Linked DNA regions of Kluyveromyces lactis. The protein of the gene in region 2 interacts with the protein of the main gene of each other region in a biochemical or structural test. Links are inferred from orthologs where the notes say so. Each region holds a gene or a part of one and is shown on either strand. Other genes may lie near its edges. The genes, in order: MGT1 and UFD4.

Region 1 (12,960 bases), on a different chromosome or scaffold from region 2:
TTGAACAACTGGGTTCGAAGCGAATAGCCCCTGGATCGGCCAGTCATCTGAGATATCCTATATACAATCCAATCCCTTTCACTAGATTCAGTGCTTGTTAGGGCTATCTGTACTGCCTTTCAAATGATCAAACTTGTCAATCTTTTGTTCTAAAGCCTTAAATGATAATAAATCTCACAATATTGAAGAAATCAAATAGTGAATTAAGGCAAATCACAACATAGAAAAGCCTCTAAAGGTGACACAATGCACAAAAGATCTTGAAGAGTGTAGAACTGGTTTACCAGATCTGGCTGTAGATTAACTCCGGAACTTCGTTAATACCAAGGAATAAGTCAATACAGAAAATCAATTCAATGGCCGCATCCAATTGCCCTGGTTCTGTGCGTTTTGCCTAATTAACTATTACGTGGAAATTCCGTTTGTTTACAAATCGTCGCACGTGACATAATATTATCGAGCCTTATGGTGTTTCACTCAAAGCGGTTTTCGATCTATAAATAAGATCATGTAGATGAATCTGAAGAAAAAGGAAATGCAGATACACTTGATATAAGCCAGTAGGTGTTTAAACTGATTATTTGTCAGTGAGCAGATCAATCGTCGGTATAGTTTAGATATTTTTTTTCATTCTGTTGCGATGACTGACTTGAAACAACAGTACGAATCAAAAGGTCAATCACATTTGTTTGCCCACTGGGACACCTTGGCACAAAACGAAAGGGAGCATTTTCTGAACCAATTGAGTAAGTTTGACTCTAAAAAATTGTCTGAAGATTGCCAGAAGGCAATTGCATTGGCAGACGAAAATTCAAGCTCTGAAAATGTCATCAGACCGTTACCAGCATCATCGTACGAATCGGTGATTGGAGATGACGATTTGAGGAATACGTACCAACAATTGGGATTAAATGCTATCAAGAATGGCGAGGTTGCTGTTATTTTAATGGCTGGTGGTCAAGGTACGAGATTGGGATCTTCCGCACCAAAGGGATGCTACAATATCGGCTTACCTTCTGGAAAATCATTATTCCAGATCCAAGCTGAAAGATTAAAAAGACTACAAACTCTTGCTGGCTGTACGAAACCGATACAATGGTACATCATGACATCAGGACCCACAAGAGCCGCTACTGAATCTTTCTTCAAGGAGCATAACTTTTTTGGCCTCTCAGAATCTCAGATCCACTTCTTTAACCAAGGCACGTTACCAGCTCTTGATATTTCTGGAGAAAAGTTATTCTTGAGCGACAAAGATGAACTTGTGGAATCACCTGATGGTAATGGTGGCCTATACCGTGCTATCAAAACTAATAATTTATTAAATGACTTCAATTCCCGCGGCATCAAGCACATACACATGTATTGCGTCGACAATGTCCTTGTTAAAATTGCAGATCCAGTTTTCATCGGCTATGCTATCAAGAATGACTTCCAACTTGCTACGAAAGCTGTGAGAAAACGTGATGCTCATGAATCTGTTGGTATAATAGCCACCAAAAATGATAAGCCATGTGTCATAGAATACTCAGAAATTTCAAAACCTCTAGCAGAAGCTGTTGATGAGGACACAGGGCTACTAACTTTACGTGCTGCCAATATTGTCAACCATTACTATTCAGTAGATCTATTGAACACGAAATTGGACAATTGGGTAGAATCTATGCCATATCATATAGCCAAAAAGAAAATTTCGTACTACGATAATGTCAATGACAAATATGTGAAACCATCAGAACCTAACGGTATAAAGTTAGAACAGTTTATTTTTGACGTTTTCCCCTCCATTCCTATGTCTAGGTTTGGTTGTTTGGAAGTCGAAAGAGCAGAAGAATTCTCTCCACTAAAAAACGCTCCTGGAACTGCAAATGATAATCCTGAAACTGCTAGGGATGCTTACCTTCATTTAACTACATCTTGGTTGAAAGATGTAGGAGCACTAGTCAATGATGAAATTCTTGTCGAAGTTTCAAGTCTATTGTCTTACGGCGGGGAAAACCTTGACTCTTATAAAGGCACTGTGTTCGATAAGCAAGGCGAAATTTTGAACTAACCAGGCAGTGTTTATAATATATTCGAAACGATAATGCTGGTGGTTTAAGTTTATTATATATACTAAAATAATACATACTTTTATCATTCAAGTGATATCAATATTGGATGTAGGTCAATCACTTCTTCTGTTTAAAAATTGTTTTAGTTCGAAAAGTACTGGTATACTCTCTTCGGAATTGAAAAGACCTTTGCAATCTATCTGGGGCCTGCCCTTCTTCTGATTTTCTATTTTCCGATTCATCAGCTCAAAACTTTTCTGTTTTCTCAAGTTTTCTCTACTTTTCTTATTTTCAATTGACAGATTCAGTATTCGTTGGTTTAATTCGTGCCTTAACTGGTCGTCTGTAAAACGAGAAAACTTAGAGTCGTTGCTAGAAGCTGTTTCTTGATCATTTTCAGTACCGTACACCAATTCCTCATGTTCTTTTTCAATGTCTGACCCAGTTTCATCTACTTCTAACACGTCTACTAGCGAAGTGAGTTTCGGAAATGAATCAACTACCACGGGGATATCACTGGTCGTCTTTACGATATCAAGATTGAGTCCACCGCTGAAAACTCTCTGACTGGAAGGCCGAGGAGAACATTTCGGTGGTTTCAACTGTTCATGCGAGTTATGTTTATAGTCGATATTCCATATTTGTATTATTCCATTCAACTCATCTATCAGGTGAGAAGAGAGTTCGGTAGATGTTTTGTCCTGTTTCATCAAGTATCGCTGCAATTCAGACAAGCGATAGATACTTTGGGTTATTACAGCTTCCTTTGATTCGGGATCCTCTTTTTCAATAGTACTTCCGTACACGGATAAAAGTAAATGTTTGTAATGATGCAAAACGGGCAACAATGATGAGATACCTTGTGTTAATGTGTATAATTGTTTCGAGATTATTTGAAATCGCTCTATGTCGGAAGTCTTTTCCACATGGTATCCAGGAAAAATTCTCTTCAAGACTAATGCAATCTCACACTTTTTCAGTGGATCAGTGTAGTTTATTGAAAGTAAGCAGCACAGAAAGAACTTTCTCATATATTGCAATCTCTCCAACTTTTGTGTAATGTCCAGACTTTCCACTGTTCGGATCATTTGATATAGGCTTTGCAAATCCACATTGTAAATACTGATATAATCAGTTAACTGAACTGCATTCACAACCGGCAAAATGTTACTAGATGCAATGTTCAATTTGTGAAATAACTGGTCTACTGTACATGTAAGGACATCTGTTAGTAATGTCAGTGTTCTGGCTTCATCTGAACGTAGACCACGATTTTCAGTCAATGCGATTGGTTTGTAAATAGTCAGCTCTTTATAAGTCAGGTGATAACGATAGATTAATTTGTCTACAGATTGCAATGCAGCATTCATCTGTCGTAGATTTAAAAGGGCAGTGTATTTGGAATATTTTGCATGGAAGTACTCTTGCTGTAAAGCTAGATAAACAGCAATCATCAATAAGGACATCAGAGAGGATCTAGGTAGATGTCTCTTATAAAGCATTTTACGGAAAGCTTTTCTTGCCGTCAATATGGTGAACATGTATGGAATTGTTCTCTGTAAATAGAATTTTTTTCCAGAAATTAACAATTGTCCATATTTTGTAGGTATAGTCTTTCCTTCAGCGTTGTGAATCGATAGGGTGTTTTCCTTATTGAAGTTCAGGATTGATTTCTGAACAGTAAATAACTGGTGATGAGAAGCGATCGAGCTTGTTAACAGTTGCGAGGAAATGATTTCATAGTGAAATTCATCAACAAAGGCATCCAGGTCACCATAAGGTAGCTGCTTCATGATCAAATCTACTTGTTTACTCCATCGGCTATCTTCTTCATGTGAGTTCAGAAAATCAGTTCTGTAATCGTTATCAATCAGAATCTCCTGTGATTCAAAGCGATCTTGGCCTACAACAGTCGGCGAAGTGTCCTTCAAAGCCTCAATACCCCACTCACTAAGCTTGCGCAACTGCTGGTAACTGATCGGAACTTGTGGGCGTGAACTGCTCCAAGTCTGTGACGAAGACATCGTTGATGGAGTCGATGCTGCAGATGCCATTTTGGGAATTTCAATCCTAGGGATTTGCAGATGCAAAGGCACCGCTTGGAAAATGTCCATTGTTTTCACTCAAAATGAGAGGATATTCAACCTGTTGGATTGATGGATGAGCCGCTTGACAAGCCTCGAAGTTTTGTGCTACATTGTCCAATGTATTGAGAGTGAGATGTCATTTATATGTAGATCAAGTTACGCTTTTTTTTTATTTTTTTTGTTTGTTTACGTTTACAAAGAAAGTAGTATCCGACAAAATTGATCGTGGAACAAATTGGCAGGAAGACATTATCAAGAGTCGAGATTAAGGCAACAGAACGAAAGAGAGTGTCAATGAAGTCATCAATGAAAACGAATCAGATAGTTTAATGTTACATATTAATTACGGGAAAGGTATATACTCTAGGTACTAAAGAAAGGGAAAAAATTTAGGTCGTCGCCATGCGGTAAATTACATTGGTCAAAAACCAGATGTCATTTGATTTCGATTTTGACTAGTATTACGGATATGAGAGGGAGCTAACATGTAAAACATACATATTACTGCTTCCGCCCTCCCATGAATTCATTACCCAAGCCTGACATATCAAACTGACCAAAATTCAATTTGTTATTTGAACCACCAGAGAATGTATTGAAATCTTGATTGTTAGTAACATCTATTTTTGAGAGAGGTTCTGATTTTTTATTATTGTCTAAAGGCTGAGAAGATGCTTGTGGACCCATAGTGGCTGGCATAGCATATGAATCAAAACTTTGAGGCTGTTGTGTTTGGAGTGACATGGCAAAATGATCTTTGTTCATTGGTTGGTCTTGCTGTTGTGATTTTACCATGTTCTCATAAGCTCTCTGTTGTTGTAGATATTGCTGGGACGGACTTGAATTATCTGATGGATCCCCTTGTCCTGGAAGTATGTTTTGGTTACCCAACTGATGATGCTGTTGATTTTGTTGATTTTGTTGGTGTTGCATTAAAGTCATCATTTTTTGATATTGCATTCGAATTTGCTGTTGCTGTTGCTGGTGCTGTTGCTGTTGCTGGTGCTGTTGCTGTTGCTGGTGCTGTTGCTGTTGCTGATGCTGTTGCTGTTGCTGTTGCTGTTGCTGTTGCTGTTGCTGTTGCTGTTGCTGTTGCTGTTGCTGTTGCTGTTGCTTCTGCTGTAGTTTGGTCCAGTTAGCTTGAACTTGTTGTGATCCGGACGGGCTTGGTTTCTTCACCTTTGACGAGGAATTAACACCTTTGAACTGCTTTGATTCCCCATTAGCTCGTGGTTTAGTATTGGCGCCAGAATCTTTATTAGTTGCTGAACTCTTCTTGGTTTGTTTATTTTTGCTTCCGACCGAAGTATTCTGAGGTTTTGGAGTAGATTTAGAACTTCCCAAGGTCGCTGCATGATAGGGATTCACACCAAGTCCAGCGTTTGTACCAGCATTCGGAGTGGTTCCTAGAACGGGTTGAAATGAGCCCTGTGGCTGTGGTACTCTCACTCCTGCTGGGAAGGAATTCGCGTTGGTTGCATAAGGAGTGTTTCCACTACCGGGTGAAGTCATTGTTCTGAAATGCTGCTGCTGCTGCTGCTGCTGCTGCAGTTGTTGTTGTTGTTGTTGTTGTTGTTGCTGTTGTTGTTGAGGGACAATGTTGCCGGCGAAGCCCATTGCTGGAGCAATAGGGCCAGTTCGCACGACACGAGACAACATTTCCTGAGGTGGAACTTGTGGCAATATTGGAACAATTCTATCATTAAATGGTTTCAAACTGGTTAAATTTTCAATTGGTGTTGTTTCAACGTACTGGTTCAACGCCCAAAGTGATTGCCACCATTCGAACAAAAAAGTATCCGGAGAATTCATTAACATTTTTGAGTTTAATAATTTATCACCGTTTAGCGAGTGTTGTGGCACGGCTTTTGACAGTGGTACATTTGCCTCTTGTAAAAACTTTTTTGCAGTATCGTGGTGTTGGTTATGCACTAGGTAGTTATAAATATGAGCATATAATAATTGCTTGGAGTTTTTCGCCATAGCATCGGAAACAAACGGTTCTACAACATCACCGCTATTGTATTGTTTATTTTTTTGATCCTGAATAGAATCGCCCTTCATCTTTTTGTCCTGTGGAGTGTTTGAAGCATTACTCTTCCTAGCACCTGGTCCAGCCATGTCCTTACAGACTTTCGATTGACAAAGTGAACGAAGCTGGTAACTTTCACTGAAATAGATTATAAAAACCCTTTTGTCCTCGATGAAAATTTAATACAACAATTAACAGTGAAAAGAACTTATCTTTCCCCGGAACTTTCAATAAATAAGCCCTGCGTAAACTGTGAATATGTTATACTTTACTAATCGGAACAGGTAGATCATGCACAGTGATAGAGAGAGGAAGAGAGGCGTATTGTTACCAATGTTATCGGTTTTGCTCGCTAGCCTAAAAACTGTTATTTCAACCAGATAAAACCCAACCACAGCTATTGACAACTTCAAAAAATCTGTAAGTTTATTCAAGTTTATATCAATGAATTAAATTAAGCGACCTTTAGCAAAAACTCAATTTACCAATACTCTCTATTTGACAACATACAATAAGGGACGATATCTAGACCAGGCAAACCATGTTAATCGATTAATTCATTTGTATTGGGCGGAGAATAATTGATTTTCAGTTACTTAAAGCGGAAATGAAAAAAAAAGATTGATCACGTGACACAAACCTTTATGTCCTTTGATAGGTACAGCTTGAACCCAAGAAAAAACTGCTGTATTGAAGGATTCTAAACAAAACAATGTACCACAAAAGTAGATGAAAGCTTAAGTCCATAATAGTTTATATACAGGAATAAGTATAGATGCAAAATGTGATACGGACTAGTATTTAATTATCATTTATTCATAAAACCAACGTCCGTTCGTCTACTTTTGAAATAAAAACAACACAGAATGAAAGACCCCTCTGTTTGTCTATTAGTTCGATTTTACTCCTCCGAGAGTTGAAAGAAGTTTCAATGCAACAGGGTTCTTGGCCATCACTGAATACGTATTTTTCCGGACATCTGCTGTCATCATTTGTTCTAACAATGGTATCTTATCCTCTGTAGGAATAATGACTCGAAGTTTTTTCTTTCCAGCCAGAACGCTATTTTTTCGAAGTAGTGAAACAACTTTTACTATGTGGTCGTTCTTACGTTGGACGTTAGACGCTATCAGTCCTTTCAAGACTCCTAAAACTGTATCTAAAGATACTGACGTCATTCCTTTGAAATAATTGTTGAACATGCTTTGGAAACGCCGACTACTGGGTTGATAGAGTACCGAAATATATTTCTCGAAAAGATCGTTGTTCCATTGGGAACTTTCAAAGACCATCTGCTCGTATATCCTTTCGTTACTGAAGTTATTCTGTTTCAAAAGGTTACGGCTGTTGTCATAATACCATAGCTGTAATAACCGTCTTTGTGAAATGTCATTGATCGACTGGTAAAATTCATAGAAGTCAGATTGGAATGCCATCTTGCTATCGCTTAACCTCTTGAAGACGTCTTGCAATTCTTCCGGGAAACTTTCAGGCTTCGGCACACTAAAATGTTGTGCCTTACTCAAATTCTTCAATAATGCTCCAAACTCGTGACGCCAACTCTTATAAAACGCCGCATTCTGTATATCATGGAGATCGTGTTCGTTCTGCGGTACGTTGTCTAAAAGCTTTTGCAACATCTTGTCATTAACCTCAACTCCCGTTTCCAACGATTTCTTATAGATATGGAACGAGTAAAATAAATAAAATATACCCATCTTTACCATGTATGAGTTGGCTGATTGTAGACCTTTCCCCTCGGGATTAGAATCCAAAAATGGATCTGAAATAGTCTCAATGTCGGCGGCAGCATTATTACTTTCTCCTATCACTTCTGACCTTCGTTGTTCCATAGCTTGCTTCTTTAGTTGACTGCTCTCTCTCCAGGAGACCTCAGAGCGGGGTCTCTTCGGTACCGCAAAATTTTGCTTATCATCGTAAACTGCATCAAGGCTATTCTCCACCCCAAATCCGTTTTCCAACGAATCTATTATAGTTGCTTGTCTTGACATCGTTGATACGGTAGAATATATCACCATCCCTGTTAACGTAACTACATTAGTCGTAACAAAAAACGCATTACCTGGTGCATTGAAATATTTCCAAAGCGTCTCTGAATACCTCTGTTGACCCTTTTGTAGACGTGGGGTACTTTGAAACATCTTGTTCTTCCATTGTAGCGTTATCCTCCGACTAGTATGAAACCTTCGTGCCATTGAACGAAAACAGCAACGAAGATGCATTTTAAATTGGAAAAACACCACTCTAAGCTTGACCCATCAACTTCGAAACAGAAACAATGAGGGAAAACTAATCTGTGTCGTATGTATTCTCCCTGATCAACCCTTTTCAAATTATTAATTCTCTTGTGTGTCTTGTTACCGGCTTCTTTCATGAATTCGCAGGGTCAGCTCATTTCCATATATCGTTTGATTTTAACTTAGTATTCAATTTTTAATTTCGCTGAAATTCTTTCTCCTTGGTGGTAAATAGTATGGAGATATATGGATGGAATCTGCGATGCGCTACAAATTTGACACATGATTTGACGAAATGAAAAGATTGTTGGGTTGAATGGCTGCACCCGTGAATAAAACGTAATCTAATAATCTCATCTTATTGTAGTAGGTGCTTCACCGGGAGTCACATCGATATGAATATGCTACAGTAGTTCGGATCTCTATAACTTATTTAAAAACGAGAGAGTATCACGTGATGTATATCATTTCTCACATCATATCTACATCTTGAAACTACAGCAAGACTGGCAGGCGTGCTAATGCTTACAATAGGAAACAGTGTGGTTCGCAGATAGGGGCGAAGGAATGTGTGGTGTATGCAACCTTAAGGAGGAAGAACTCCTTTTTCTCGAACGGTCAACCTCCGATGCTGTACATCCAGGTATATATAACTCCAATATCCCAAAAAAAAAAAGAATGGCTGCAACACGTCAGTAAAAGGGCAGGACAAGAGTAAAGAAAGCAAGCTTGGTGCACTTCACAAAGCACATTATGTCCCATTTATTAGTGTACGATTTCATGGAGCACGATCTAGCAAATGTGCTGATCGTGGTCAAACCTTCGACCAAAAGTCTTGTATTCGTTTCGCTGTCAGGAACGAAACCAAAACTATTAGGCGATGCTAAGAAATTTGTATCCAAAGTGAACTCCTTGTCAAAGAATAAAGGATCTATTTATACCTTAAAGAATAAATCCATCTTAAAATCAGACGATGTGGCATGGTTAGAACAGTTGAGCTTTGATTTTTTACAGATACTGGCTGGTGGTATTGACTCTCAAACGAACATCAAATGTGAGTATCTCCTTGGAACAGAATTTCAAAAAAAGGTTTGGGAGACTACAAAGACTATCAAGGCCGGTGCTACGATTTCTTATCAGCAATTAGCCGTTCTGCTAGGGAATCCAAAAGCTGTGAGAGCCATTGGTTCTGCTCTAGCGAAAAACAACATTGCTGTCGTGATTCCGTGCCATAGAATCATCGGTTCTAAGGGTAAACTGACAGGATTCAGATGGGGAATTGAACTAAAAGAATCACTACTAAGGCAGGAACAAGCAATTTAGTGGACTGATAGCTTTTGAATTTTTTTTTTCTTATTTGCAACCAACCGTGTTTGAAACGGCACACAAATCCCAAATGTGTTCAAGGATTACTTGACCCAGTCGTTACGGTTCTCTTCTGTGTGTGTTTCAATAAAATGTCTTTTTGTCTCTATTTCTTTTGTCTTTATTTGTCTTTCGAGAGGGTTGCGTCTGCAAGAAAAAATATGGAAATCCTGGAGAGTTGAATCATTATCGATCTGCGAGGAGTATGATAGTGGGGTGCAGCAGATATAATTAACATACTACTTATCGGATGGAGAGGGGGATCTTTTCAATAAAGACATTCAATTGTGCTGCACGGCTGATCTCACAACTTGGGACATTATACTGTGTGAGTTTTTTTTGTTCTTTTTGTTCTTTTAATTCTTCAACTTGCTTCGACGACATGAAGGGTTTGACTTTTACTTCTGCTGGTTTTTGTTTGCAGTACATTCTCTACAAACACGATTCTGTCTCGAAATAAACCATCCACTCGTAAATGTAAACCTTAAACTCTATCCCATGTTCTTGCCATAGAAAGCTAGTTTCTTACCGTTTCTTCTCTTACGGTATCTTTTGTTTCTGGTCAAGTATTAATTATTGCTGAGTAACTTTTTTTGGCAGAGTCACTGTACTATGTTGGGTATTTCTGTGAACTGAGTTTTCAATACCCTTTTTGTATGGCCTAGGCTTATTCTATTAATATTGGCGACATGATCTTCAAACGCGGTGGAAATTTGGTATCTGCTTTCAGTTATGCATGTTCAATCCAATACAATATACACTTATTCTGCTAAATTGCTTACTTGTAGTTGGTATGGTTTTTTTATATATATTGAGGCCTCAAAGCTTTTCTCAGCGATACACTGCCGTCATCACTTAAATCATATCATGTTTTCATTTTATCTTTCTTAGAATCTCAAAAAGTATGGATTGCTGTTCTCAAGCAAAGTACTAATTGCCAACATGTCCGAAGAGAAAAAGGTTGTTAATGTTCCTTCAAACTCTGAAAAAGAAAGCGCACTTGTCGAAGTTGAATCAAGATCAACTATTGATGAAATCGAAAATGTGTTTAATGGCAACAAACCAACAGAAGAAGTTCTGAAAGAAGTTGATGAATTGGTCTTGAAGTATGATCTTCAAGAATACCAAGAACTATTAAGTCGTGGTGCTTTATTGGCTAATGATCCTGATGTTTTGCTAACTGATAACTACTCCGAAAAGGAAAGAAAAAAGATCGGCAGGGAGTTAACACATCCATTTCTGTCTTTGTCAAGAGGTATGATTTGGGCTGCGTTATGTACCTCTTTGGCCGCCGTCAATTTCGGTATGGATGAAAGTGCTGTCGGTGGTGCTGTCTTGGGTTATCAAAAGGCGTTCAACATTACAAACCCTAACATCCAAGGTCTTACTTTAGCTGCGCCTTATTTGGCTGCTGGTGTCTTGACCTTACCACTGACTGTCTTATTGAACAAAAAATTTGGTAGAAGATTTATTGTTTTGATAAGTTGTTTTATCGGTGTGTCTGGTTCTCTGATCCAAGGCTTTTCGAACGGATTAGGTCTTATATTGTTCGCAAGATTATATTTAGGTATTGGTATGGGTTTATGTTCATCTACTGTCCCAATCTATACTGCAGAATGTGCACCAGCAGTTTCTAGAGGCGCAATTTTAATGTTGTGGCAGACTTTTATCGCTCTTGGTGTTTGTTTGGGTTCAGTTTTCAATAGAGCTTTTGTCGAAATCGAGGGGAACCTATCTTGGAGATTAATGATTGGTTCTTCTTGTGTAGCACCCTTTATCACGGCTCTCGTGGTTTACATTCCACCTGAATCACCAAGATGGCTTATTGGAAACGGATTTGTCAGAGAATCCCTAGAGTCCCTAATCAGATTGAGAAACACAGAAGTCTCTGGTTCACGGGACTTTTATATCCTATATGAGTCTTTGAAATACGAACATAAACTTGCAGCTAAACTTTCTTGGCACCAAGAGATTAAATCCCTATTCAGTAACATCAGAAACAGATTTGCTTTGTGGGTATCGTTCCTTGGTATTCTTGGTCAGCAATACGGTGGCGTTAACATCTTGGTTTCATATACTGCAACAATTTTAACGAATGCTGGTATTGACCCGGTAACTGCCATTGCTGGCTCAATCGGTATTGGAGGTGGTTGTTTCTTAGCTACTTTCCTTTCCTCGCAGTTGATCGACAGATTTGGTAGAAGAACAATGTTGCTTTTGACACTTCCTGTAGAAGGCGCTTGTTTGTTTTGGTTGGGTGGTATTTTGAATATCAAAGAAGATCAAGCTCGGTTGGCTGCTGGTTTGGCTGCTATGTATGTATTTGTGCTGTTCTACGGTATTGGTATTGGGCCAATTAGTTTTACATTGGTAGCAGAAACCCCATCCATTACCGTTAGAATGGCTCATAGTGCTTTTGCTATGTCGATCAATTGGTTGCTTGATTTCTGTTTGACGATGACATGGCCAAAAATGGCCGATTCTATGGGAACTTCAGGAGGGTTATATTTCTACGGTGCGTTTAACTTTCTGATTTGGGTTCTTGCTTATTTCACAATCCCAGAAACAAAAAGGTTCACACTAGAACAGTTAGATGAGGTGTTCAAACATGGTGTTACCCATTATGCCAAGCAAAATACCAGAAAACTATTTGGTAAATAATCGTTGTGACCTTAAATTTTGAAATATATATTTATCTTTAATATTCAAGTGTCATCTAACAAAACTATCGTCTTTTGGCTATACTATTCAATGGAAACTTTTTAGATCATCATAAGTGTTGCATGATCCACCGCAAAGGATAACTACTACGATATCATCTGGTCCCAATGGTCCTAACAGTTCAGGACGATAACAAGTATGTAACGAAGCACCGCATGCTGGTTCGACCAAAATCGAGGTCTCATCAAAGAACCTCAAACAAGTATCAACAACATTCTTATCATCTAAGACAATTGACTTCGACGAAAATTTAATAGCCTTTTGAAAAGAGTCTGCGCATATTTCGGTTGATCCCAAAGAAGTAGCTATGCTACTGATTCTATCCAATACTACGGGTTCACCAGCTATCAAAGACTTGCTCAATACATCACACCCATCGGTTTCCATGGCAAAAACAGGAATTGAGCCCGCCAATCCATGTCTTTCTAATCCATTAACGACCC
Region 2 (12,314 bases):
TTGTTAAAGGTGTTGTTGAAATATCTGTGGGTGATAACAAGTTTGTGTGTACAACGGGTTCTTCTTTTCAAGTACCGGCGTTCAACACTTACGGTTTTCTCAATAAAGGAATGACAGAAGCGCAACTTTTCTTCGTTCAAACAACCGTCCCTGAAGATTTTAATGGTGCAGATGACATTTTTGAAGATTCGGAGATGTCTTCTAATAAATCTTCGAGCGATATGAGTCTCACATCTACCTAATGTGAATGAAATATTAATAACACAACTATTCTATATAGAAAAAATAAAGTTTTAAATTCATGTAATGCCGTAAAACAGAAATGATTATGATTGTTCATCGTATTTGTCTTCATCGTTTTCATCATCTTCCATACTTTCTGCTAGTTTCTTCATCCTTGCCAGTTTAACCAACGGTGCAAGGGAGGTGTTCTCTTCCGCAATTTCAGTGATAAATGGATCTTCAAGAAGATCTGCTGCGGTTCCTCTGTCCTCTGGATCAACCATTAAACACCAATTTAAGAACATAGCCATTTTATGACTTAAATTTCCAGGATCCTTTAGCTTTGGCGTACCATTGGTAGCGATCAAATATAGAGCTCTTAGTGGTGTCTCATTCAGATATGGTGGTTCACCTTCTATCATTTCAATGATCATAATACCAAGAGACCAAATATCAACCTTTGGTCCATATTCTTTTCTTGATACGACTTCTGGGGCCATCCAGTACGGAGTACCAACCATCGTCGTTCTCTTCAAATTTACCTCGTTAATCTGAGCACAAAAACCGAAATCTGTTAGTTTGATGTCTCCGTTCATGGATAGCAAAATATTGTCTGATTTAATATCTCTATGAATGACTCCCTTTGAATGCAAAAACTGTAAACCCTTGAGTGTTTCTCTAGAGACGGCACCGATTTGCCCTTCAGTCAATATACAGTGCGTAACGACATCAGTCAACGAACCACCTTCCATGTATTCCATGACAACCCATAAATCACCTCTAAATAGGTATGAATCAATGAAATTAACAATGTTGTTGTGTTTGCTTCCTTTCATGACCAGAATTTCATTCACAATTAACTCTTTCTTGGGTTGTTTCTCCAAATTCATCTGTTTTATTGCTACTGAAGCATTTGTGCCCAATTCATACGCTGTGTAAACTCCTCCTGATGCACCTTGTCCGATTTTGATCAGATTCTTGTACAGTTTGCTTGGGTCTCCTGTTGTGCAAATCTCGGTTAATTTTGATTGAATTTGTTGATTCTTTCTTTTCCTCTCTTCCCTCTTTTTTTCCTGGGCCTTTCTTGTCTGGACATTAGAAGTATTCGATTCCTCTTTCACTTCCACAGCAAGCCCGGAAGGAATTGCAGGTATTGAGGATTGTTCCGGTGTTGTAGGAATTGCAGGTTTTGGTGGAGTAGGAGCCGCTCTTGCAGGCAATAAATTTGCTGGTTTTTCTGCAGCCTTTGGAATAGGAGGTAATGGTTGCTCACTTTTCAATGTTGGCATCTTCTTGAATGAGAAAATGCTTGATGACTGAGTATCACTTCTTTGCACTTTTGGTGTTCCATGGCCAAGCGAATTGATTGGTGAAGGGATTTCGACCCTACGGCTAACTGTGGAGGAACCTTGAGGTTTTGGAGCAGGCCGAGTCGGTATGAACTTTTCGTTGTTCACAGTTTCACTGAAATCGTTAGTGAGCAGCGGACCCTGTAAGTTACTAGAGTATGGGGTATCATTGTTTTCATTCGGAAAAGTTGCATCTGTTTGCATTTGCGGAGTTTCGAACTTCTGTACTGATGCAGTTGATGGGGTTCTGAAAGAAGGTGTAGATGCAATGTTTGCACCAGAGCCACCTCCTACTTTGAAAGTCTTGAAGACTTTCTCTTCTCCAGAGTTTTCAGTAACATCTTGGTAGAATTTTACAATATCCATCACAGCCTGGGGATGTTGCTGTTGTTCTTTCATACTAATGCCACTGGAAGTTAAAAGTTTCTCCCATTCATTTGGTAACCCTGTATATTCCCCTGTTTTGGAGTCAACACCTACATGATAAACATGCTTAGCATTATAAGGAGTAGAGATCTTAAATGCATTATTTCCACTTCCATTACCGCTTCCGCTAGAAATTCTTTTCTCTGAGTGTGAGTTCCTCTTGATGTTTTGAACGAATGTTGAGAAAACACCTTTCTTCTTAGTACCGGTCTTCCTCTTAACATCATTAGAGGAGGTGGAGGAATTAGAATTCCTCTGGGAGTGGTCAGGCGTCCCATGCTGACTCTTAACGTTTTTCCTCAGAGAAGAAAACGGAGAAGAAATGGTTCTGAAGGGGGATCTTGATTCTGATACTGGTGTTTGATTTTCGAAAAAGTTATTCACCATTACGGGAGTTTTAATTGGAGGATCCTCATTTGTTGTTTCTGGATGTGGTTCTTCTTCAGGTATTACTTCATGCACACTTACGTGTTTCGAATGATCTGCAGACGCTGTCGATGCCTTGTTGAAACTATCTGTAGATGATAATATCTCATTTAGCGGGGACTCATATACATCATTGGCATCAACTTCAGTTATAGGTGTTGTAATCTTTGGAGAATTTGAGGTTTGTGTGGAATTTAGGAAGTCAGAAGAAGTTTCCAGGGCCCCGCCCATAAGAGAGAGATCAGGTGTCATCCTCCCGCCAGTAGATATTCTACCTATATTTTGGGAGGAACCTTCTATAGTTGACATCGTCTTATCTCCAACAATAGATTCAATTGTCCCTGGCGTCTCCTTCGAAGTCAAATTATTTCCTTCTTCCACTTTTCCTTCTAGATGCGATATTAAATCTGCATCACCTTCCGATATACTTTCACTTAACACAGAACTGGAAGAGACTCTTGTAAATTGTATCGGTTCATCCAAAGTTGGCTGGTTACTATTAAAAATTTCCGAAACATTTGTTGGTACGGTGCCCGGTTTCCCTGGATCCATAGATTTATAATCTGAAAGGTCTTTGACGTAATGATCTTCGTCTGATTCTTGTAATCCTTTCACATCCAAACTCGCTGGTGCACGAGGTAAATCAAAGAGATCTTTTGAGACAGATTGTTCCCTAGTCTCCGTTACTTCTGTATGATCCTCTAGAGTTTGTACTGAAAGATTTTCACGATGTACATCCTCTTGTTTTGAATCTTGATTTTGACTTTTGCGTATGCTACTGGTGTCACTTTCTGTATTGCCACCATTTTCTCTCACGGAAAGCGCATCAAATGTGCCTGGTAACAATTCTTCAGTATATCCAGTATCCGTCATTATATGGAGACAAAGTAGTGAGTGTAGTAGCTTCTATCAAAAAAAAAAGGCCTGTGTCAAAAGATGTCTTGTGGTTAATTCTATCGACCGAACAAAAAGGAAAGGTATTCCGAAAAACACAAACAGGTCTGTAATGATTTCTAGAGCATACAACCGTCAGTAACAAAGCCTGCTGTGGCCGTGTTAATTTCTGTCAGAAAAAAAGCTAGATTACTTTGTTCAAAGAATAGAAGATCAAGTCAGATAAACAATGAAAGAAATGACAAAACGTGCTCTGTAAAATTCTTTCTACCTTCACCTCCTTCTAACTTAAAAACGAGAGCCTGTTGTGTAATTCAGTGTAACGAACGTCTTTTGATTGCTAAAATCACACTCTCGCCAAAACAAACAAATAATGTGTGCTTGTTATTAAAAAGATCCAAAAGAAGATGGTATTACCTGGTATTACTCTCTGAAATACTTGTCAAATCGGCAGAGATAGCCTGATTAATAAAATTTAAAACCTAGTTCTAACACAAGCCACAGTTAAAGCAACAATTGAGCTTGCTCGTTTCTCTAATCTGCTTATAAACATGCATACCATCTGATCTTTACATTCCGTTTGTTTAAACTCTTAAGCTTTAAATTTCAGTTTCAACATTTTCGCCAATCCCAAAGAGTAAATCCTGTCACATGTCACGAAAGTATGTGGTATTGAAATCTTTAGTTAGGGTGGAGTATGGTTAGATCTACAGACATCTCTATGTAGTTATATACATATTCTATGACAATAGGAAGGCTCCGGAACCTTCAGTCATTGCTTGTGCAATACGATCTTTGAGTACCAGTTTATCAGAGTATTTTGGTAGTTTCAAGTAATTGGCGCATGTCATAACGCTAGGTAGGCAATGGTCTGCCGAGATGTTCCCATCTGGGTGCTTCAGGACTACTGTGAATTTGGGTTTTAAGTTTTTGAAACCGCCAAGAGGTAGTTTCGGAGAGCCAGTGATGAATTGTAAGAACAAACGTTTCTGTTGTGTCGAAAAATTCGACAAAATATCTATGAGGTCTGTTATGATTGGAGAATCCATCGAGTAGCCATGGTCTGCATGAATGGATGAGTATAGCGTTTGCACAGACCAATCTTCAGCAACTGCACCAAACAAATCGGATAGTTCTGTCGGAGTTAAGATTAGCAATGATGAATAAGGGAATGATTTCGAAAATCCGTTCCTGAAGGCAGCGAGCTGCATATCTACGCCTTTGCCCAAAAATTGGTCAAAGACACGAATCAAGTACTCTTCCACGTTGAAAGATTCAACTAAGATTTTCGAACCACCTTCCAACAATTCTATATCATAACCAGGCAGCATGAAATATAGGTCAAGGTTTTTGATAGAGTCATCATGACGATTATCATACAAAAATGCGAGTGATTTTCCTAGTTGAACATCAAACTGTCCTACGAGGTGGATACAAGTTTCGAAGTCTTCTAGGTCAAGTCGATCATTCTTGCAGCATTTGTGCATCAACTCGAAGAAAACAGCGTTAAATCTAAAATCGAGAATCCTATTATCTAACATTGACCTAGCGACTAAGGTCCCCAAGTTTTCGAATAATTTCAAAGTCTTTTCGTTATTCTCCTCGGTGGTGCCCAATAATGGTCCAGGGAACAATGCACCTGTCACATACTCCTCCTCATCATCACTGGTATCACTATTGGTCTTCCACATTTTTAGAGACTTCCTTGCAAATTCTTTCGACATCAAAGAGTAAAATTCGAGAGTGGGTCCTAACCCTGTACCTTCTTCATCTTTGTATTCGATCTCCAATACGTTTGGCGAAGAACCATACTTTTTTAGAATTTTGATGCCGGACAAAAATAGTGAGTCTCTTGAAACCCTCAACTTGTGTCTAGTCAACCTGCCTAATTGATGCAATGGATTTTCAGTAGGGTTACTATGGTGCTGATCTGCCAGCTTTTCCCTCCAGTATTGGATCAATCTGCCATATCCATATGATGTATTCTGTAAGAAGTTCATTCTAGTTTCAAATGGAAACAAAAATCCATATTTTCTCGTGATATCGAGGACCCAACTTGGTAAGACCCCACATGCCACAATAAGTGGCTCTTCAAGTTGACGGGAAAGCTTAGCACTAATCTTTGGATTCACATAAATAGATGCTGGGAGTGATTTATGTTGGCAACATTGTAGAACTGTCAAAATACCATTGACAGGCTTCAAATCCGCCCCTTCAAAAGCTGTATCGGGGTAAAGCACATGCAATTGATGTGACTCCCTTCTTTTTACTGATTTCTTGAACTTAAAAGTAGGTACGTTAGTCCAGATACTCGTTGTGGGTAACCCTTCTTTCATCGCCTCTTTGAATATAATAGAGTAAATAGTTGACGATTGATCTAAAAGATGGTCATTCAACGAAAAGTCAAATTGTATGTTTTCAAGTTCTTTGGCAACATTTGTAGGGTTGGCTTGTTGATTAGCACGACTCATGCTCGGAATGATAGAAGTCAAAAATTCCGATTGCACAATCTTGTGTTTCAAGAATTCATCAAGTGTTTTCAAAGATGCAACGCAATGCACGGCAATTACAACATCTTGAAGAGTTTCTGGAACAGTATCTTTTCCCACTTCATCATCGGCCGGCTCATGAACTAATCTTATTTTCATCTGTTTGATTAACGAGGCACTTGGAGAATCGTTGCTACTGGCACCAGCATCTAGGATGGCAAAGGTTTCCGTCCTAGACAATGCATTTTGTAGTAGCTTCACAAATTCAGGCAATTTTTCCTCGAACACTTTCAGAAAAGTCCTCTTGGAGAATGATTGTTTCGTTGAATCAGTTTCAAAGATATTAGCCATAGAATCAATGAGACCAGTGGAAATGAGCTCGAAGCCAGATATGTTGGACATATCATCAAATAATGAGGATTTTACAGCAGTCCAGAAATCCATCCAATATTGTTCGGAATCAGATTGAACATCCAGTTCCTTCATCTTAGTGACAACAGCATTAATTTCAGAAAGCTCGCTGGAGACTTCTTCTTGGTTAGATGAAAACAACTCTAGTAGTGTAGCACTAAACATGGAAACATGTTTTATTAGGTAATAAGGAGTCAAATGATCGTAGATATTAATGCGGATTTTTCTCGGTTTGACAAATTCAGGTATGTTCATGTCGTCGTACTCCATCCTGTAACTGTCTTTTTCTTCATCATCATCTTCATCTTCAATGTCAGAATCAGATCCAAAAACAGGATGAGAATCAGAGTTTTCCGGACGTATATGATATCCTGACTTCTCGGCTTCATCTGATGACGATTCCTGTTTATCAATACTATCTTTCTTGCTGAGCTCATAACTGTAGTGAGAATTCAAAGAGGTTAAAGCATCTGGTATACCTTCTTTTCTTAGTTTCGGTAGATACAAATCCGGATTATTAGACATCATGATAGAAATTAACGAAAGCAGTGCTACTAGTACTGCACTGGTCTCAGTCTTCATATGATCTTGTTGCGCATTTGAACCATTGATGAGACCAGAGGATATTATGTTAATAACGGACGAACTAGGAATATCGTAGCCATGAGGTATAGACGTGAACACCCTAGCCAATGCAACAAGAACTGTATATCTAATCTTAGTATCCACTGTATTGGAATATATTTCCACCAAACAAGGAATCAACTCATTGACTAGTTCAAGGAATTTATCCTCATTTCCGTCAAATGTGAAAACTTTGACCTCATCGGCTGTCAAGATTTGAGAATCTTCAGTTGGGAGCAAAAGTAAGAGGAAAGTTGTTACCGACAACAAAAGCTCTTTAGGAACATAAATCAAAGTTTCACTGAAGGTGGAAGATGCTGATTTCTTATAAGACTGGAAAACGTTTTGAATAACTTTGTTCAACTCACAATCCAATAGGATTTGTTTTGACAATTCAACATTGGTGGAGACCAAGAGTGATGAAATATCCAAGACTTTCAAAACAGATTCACGTTCAATCTCTGAAGAAGATAACAACGACAATAACCTTTTAACCAACTCGAAGTCAAAGAGTTTAGATAATGATTTCTTGTTCAAAGATCCTGAAATGCTGTAAAGTGTTATGAGAACTGGCTTCAAAATTACTGGATTTGTACTATTTAGGAAGATAGATTTCAAGATGGGGAAAATCTCTGATACCACCTCGAAGTCACTTTCCTTAGCCCTAGCACATGAGTTCGCAACGATAGATAATGATTTTTTCTGCGCATGGACGGTAAAGAAATCCAAATATTGCAAACAAGAGAGAAGGGTACCGCTTCTTAAAATCTTAGATCCATGTACCCTTGAAATGAACTCTAAACACTCCAAAACTTGTTCTGCCAAATCGATATAGCTTATCTCATTCAATTTCCCTCTCAATATCTCAATAATATCTCTATTAACCGAAACCTCTATCATTTCTGGGTTCATCTCATAGTAGTTATAGAGACACCTACAAGCAATTAATTGTAACTCCAACTCTGCTTGTAATAATGGGCTAGACAATACATGGATCAAAGCGTCCATTAACTTGCCAGATGGGATGATTCGATCAGCGATCAAAGGGTTTAACATCAATAGCTGTTCAGATAATTCCCGGAGAGATTCCATAGCAATATACGGATCGTCTTCAGCTTGAAGCACATTCTCAATCAATTTCAAATACCGAGAATTTCCTCTGCTAACACCGAAAAACCCTTCAGACCTTCCTAGTTCTTGCAACAGATCTGGCAATGAACGTCCAAATGCACGCTCCGAATCAGCTTCCTCGCCTTCAGCAACATCACCATCCCCACTTTCACCAGATCTTTGATCCGCTAGACGAGAAACAATATCTTGTAGAAACGAAATCCTGTCCGCACGGTCCCCAGAACGGCTTTCATGATAAACATTCCCTATCTCACCTTCTACTTCCTCATCGTCTTGATCTTCATCTTGATCTTCGTCCAACTGCTCTCCTTGCGATCCATCTTCTTCCCCGTCTTCGTCTTCATCATCATCATCATCGTGATGGACAAACTCTAAATCATCTTCATCCTCTGGATAAGAATATTCGCCAGATTCAACATCATCACTTTCATGGCTACCGTTCGCATCTTCATATATGATATAGTCGCCATCGCCATCGTAATAACTCATCTTTTCAAAACCCTTTCCTGTTTCAAATCACAAATAAGAGGCAAAATTACTATCTAAAATTTCTAGTTCACAACCCGGTATCTCTTACCACCTTAATAATTGGTATCTTAGAGGTTGTTAGACTTTGGCAAGCAATACAAGAGGTATGTTTAACTCGCCGGCTGTTCATATCAAACCAACTAGTTTGTTTCCTGCTAAATATGTACTGAGATTGCAATTTCCTGACTCTGAACTTTTAAGGTACATTTTGGTCCGGTACACTGCGGTTTTATCTGAGGAAAATATACACAATACCCGTCGCCACAAGTAATGAGTCACGTGACTAAGTTTACTTCCCCATTTACAATACATCTCCGGTAATAGGTTAAATCATTACCACTATATCTACTTGCCCGATACACGATCATGCCCTATCTGTGCCTTTCTAGTCTTGATATTTGTGTTGAATTGAGATCTATTGTCTCATTGGCAATGAGTGAGAGACTCAGAAATCAGTCAAGGGAATTCATACCGGAGTTTGGTTTTGCAGTTCCTTAGAATAAACCTCTCTAACCGAGCTTATGAGAATGGCCCTAGAGCATTGCAAAAGAGCCGGTATATGTCTTACCGATTCACTTTGTGTCAGAGGTCGTTACTTTCCGTTTGGAAAAATCAAATCACGTGACTCACAACTAGAAAGAAAAAGAAAGGCGCAAATTTTTCAGTTTGAGAAAGCTCATCTCATCGCATCTACTCGATGGACCTTTCATAGTTTAAACTGATCAACAGTACTAATCGCTATATTCTATCAGTTGTATTCCTCTTTATTTATCTCTCTTCTGTAATTGAATAGTGTTCTGATAATTGTTTACTTTTCGTTACTCTTTATCATCAAGCTACTACATATACCAACCCAGATACGATGCCAAGATCTAAGCGTTCAAAGTTGGTTACATTGGCCCAAACCGATAAGAAGGGTAGAGAGAACAAGGAAAGGATATTCGATGAAGTTAGAGAAGCCTTGGATTCTTTCAGATACGCTTGGGTTTTACATTTGGAAGATGTGAGAACTCCAGTTTTGCAAGAGATTAGAAGTTCTTGGGTTGGATCCAAGTTAATCATGGGTAAGAGGAAGGTGTTGGTGAAAGCGTTAGGTGAAAAGCCAGAGGAAGAGTACAAGGAGAACTTGGCCAAACTATGTAAGCACTGTTCTGGTGTTACTGGTCTATTATTTACCAACGAACCTGTCGATGTAGTGGAAGATTACTTCAAGGCATATGTGAGAGCTGATTTCTCCAGACCAAAATCAAAGGCTCCATTGTCTTTTACCATTCCAGCCGGTATTGTATACTCTCGTGGTGGTCAAATCCCAGAAGAAGAAGATGTGCCTATGATACATTCTCTGGAACCAACTCTAAGAAACAAGTTCAAGATTCCAACCAAAATTAAGAATGGTAAGATTACCATCGAATCTCCATACTTGGTCTGTGAAAAGGGCAAAACTCTAGATGTTACTCAAGCATTGATCTTGAAACAATTTGGTATAGCAGCTGCTGAATTCAGGGTGAAGGTTGCCGCATACTACGATAACGAAACTTCTAGTGTGGAACAGATCAATATCAACATGGATTCGAAATAAATCCAAAAATAAGAAAGCATTGCAGTGATAAACTATAAATATATATATATAATCATAACCTATATATTTCTCCTTTGTACATTAATCTCTTCTCTAGGAATCCTTTATCGAATACACGTACTGCCAATATTCGGTCAGATTCTTCCAACCTTGAGACATCATTCCCAGATCTGTCGCTGACACCATTCTGATACGCACAGCGTACTGATTTTCCAGTCGAAGCGATCCATGAAGGATGAGGTTACAATGTCGCAGCTGGGAGATTGACAGATCAAGAGTTTTCTGTGTCTCTTCTGATTCCAATTGTTCTTTCGTCATTAACAGGGACTCTAAACCGTAGATGATAATTTCTTCATAGCACATCGATGTGTTTCCTTTATTCTGGAGCTCAATCTCGACATATGTCAAGTACATATATAAATACTGTAATTTATCAAGGAACAGAATCCGCACGTTGGATCGTCCCCTGACTATATCATCAATACTGTTAAAGAAATGCGTCTTGTTTTCCCGTAGATCTTGCTCGAAGAAACTTCGAGCCTTAACGCCAACTGCTATAACTAGAACTTTCTTGTTACGGTCCAATACATCACGCAGTACATCTTCCATCGGTTTATAAGGATGAAAAATAATCTTAACCAATGCTATCCTACTAGGAAATACCTTATCCTAATAAATTAATTTCACGCTTGTAAGCCGGTACATTAATTGTTTCAGATGCGTAATAGCCTTGACGGTTTGAAATGTTGATACTTAGACCACATAAAACACGTGATATTTAATTACTGAGAATATATCAAAGTATCAACTCGTATACAATGATCTGGAAAATTTTATTGAATTGGTGAATTGGACAGTTGGTTATCGTAGCGTTTGGTATATTAAATTACGATGATTTGAAGAAGGTAAAAGGTAAAGGAAGTGATTTAGTCGACATTTTGAGTGTTACCTTCACCTTATAGTGAGAACTGTATCATTTGTCCGGAATGTCTGTTAGATACTGCACCAAAAATTTGGTGGGGAGGGCGCCATTTGCCTTAAGATCAGGTGCAGTGAGACTGCAAAGTTCTTCATCAAAGGCTAGTTCCAGCGATGAGTCCAATGCTATAAAAGGCGAGAATGGTGAAGAATTACAATCTGTGGATGTAGCAGCGGCTCGTCAATCGGAATTTAACGGGAGTATATCTCAGCTTTTACATCAGGCAATGAACACACCAATAGAAGAGTTAGGAGATCTGGAAACCAAGTTGAAGTCGCCATTGACTGAGAAAGAACAACAATTGGATGAGAAATTGACTGCATTTTTGAGGAAGTACTCGAAATATAACAAAGTTTTAGATCTACCAGAGGATACCAACAAGTTCGACTTTAGTTCAAAAGTTTTGTCCCAACCATTACATACTAGAGAGTTCCCATATTTGTCGCACACCAGTAAAGAAAAGCCTTATTCGGAACAAGAATTATATGTACGTCAATTAAAACATGCCGCTCATACATCCAAATTAGGTGCTAATATACAAGACGTGTATTTCCCACACAAGGACGTTTTCAACCCGCCATCTTTACAGCAAGTATCCATTGAAAAGCTAATGGCCGCTGGTGTACATTTGGGCCAATCCACTGCTCTATGGAGAGCTTCTACACAACCATATATTTACGGTGAATACAAGGGCATTCATATCATTGATTTGAATCAAACACTTTCGCATTTGAAGAGAGCTGCACAGGTCGTAGAAGGTGTTGCTGAAAATGGTGGTTTGATTCTTTTCCTTGGGACCAGAGAGGGTCAAAAGAGAACTTTAATTAAGGCAGCTGAAAGAGTAAACGGTTATTATGTGGCATCTAAGTGGGTACCAGGTACTTTGACCAATCCTACTGAAATTTCAAGTAGTTGGGAAAGACACGAAGTGGATTATTTCGGTAACCCAACCGGTAGAGAATTGACTCTTAACGAATCTATGAGCATTATTAAACCAGATTTATTAGTTGTTTTGAACCCTACTGAAAATAGAAACGCTTTGAAAGAGGCAATGAAGGCAAGAGTCCCAACAATTGGTATTATCGATACCGATTCTGAACCATCGTTGGTGACATATCCTATTCCAGCTAATGATGATTCTCTACGTTCTGTAAGTTTATTAACCAGCATCTTAGCTAAGGCTGGTGAAAGAGGTGTACAAACTCGTTTGAATCGTGCATCAGTTTAGAGACCTTCTTACCGCATTAGAATACAAT

What was found.
Region 1: the proteins of UFD4 (region 2) and MGT1 form a complex in vitro, tested with the Saccharomyces cerevisiae proteins (2 studies listed by BioGRID, with this or other methods). The link is inferred for Kluyveromyces lactis from reciprocal best matches to the Saccharomyces cerevisiae genes UFD4 and MGT1.

The regions. Positions count from the first base shown.
Region 1 is NC_006041.1:160,581-173,540, forward strand, and holds MGT1 (methylated-DNA--protein-cysteine methyltransferase), read left to right. Parts: upstream 1-9,184; coding exon 9,185-9,754; downstream 9,755-12,960. Other genes in the region: aminophospholipid-translocating P4-type ATPase DNF3, read right to left, coding at 1-47; QRI1 (UDP-N-acetylglucosamine diphosphorylase), read left to right, coding at 641-2,053; INP2 (Inp2p), read right to left, coding at 2,168-4,168; MSS11 (Mss11p), read right to left, coding at 4,643-6,262; PET494 (Pet494p), read right to left, coding at 7,064-8,416; KLLA0_E01783g (uncharacterized protein), read left to right, coding at 10,739-12,457; KLLA0_E01805g (uncharacterized protein), read right to left, coding at 12,545-12,960. UniProt on the Saccharomyces cerevisiae protein: Involved in the cellular defense against the biological effects of O6-methylguanine (O6-MeG) and O4-methylthymine (O4-MeT) in DNA. Repairs the methylated nucleobase in DNA by stoichiometrically transferring the methyl group to a cysteine residue in the enzyme.
Region 2 is NC_006038.1:1,182,574-1,194,887, reverse strand, and holds UFD4 (putative ubiquitin-protein ligase UFD4), read right to left. Parts: upstream 8,462-12,314; coding exon 4,058-8,461; downstream 1-4,057. Other genes in the region: MIF2 (Mif2p), read left to right, coding at 1-242; mitogen-activated protein kinase kinase kinase kinase STE20, read right to left, coding at 327-3,296; mRNA turnover protein MRT4, read left to right, coding at 9,363-10,079; SHU1 (Shu1p), read right to left, coding at 10,173-10,688; MRP4 (mitochondrial 37S ribosomal protein uS2m), read left to right, coding at 11,066-12,286. UniProt on the Saccharomyces cerevisiae protein: E3 ubiquitin-protein ligase which accepts ubiquitin from an E2 ubiquitin-conjugating enzyme in the form of a thioester and then directly transfers the ubiquitin to targeted substrates.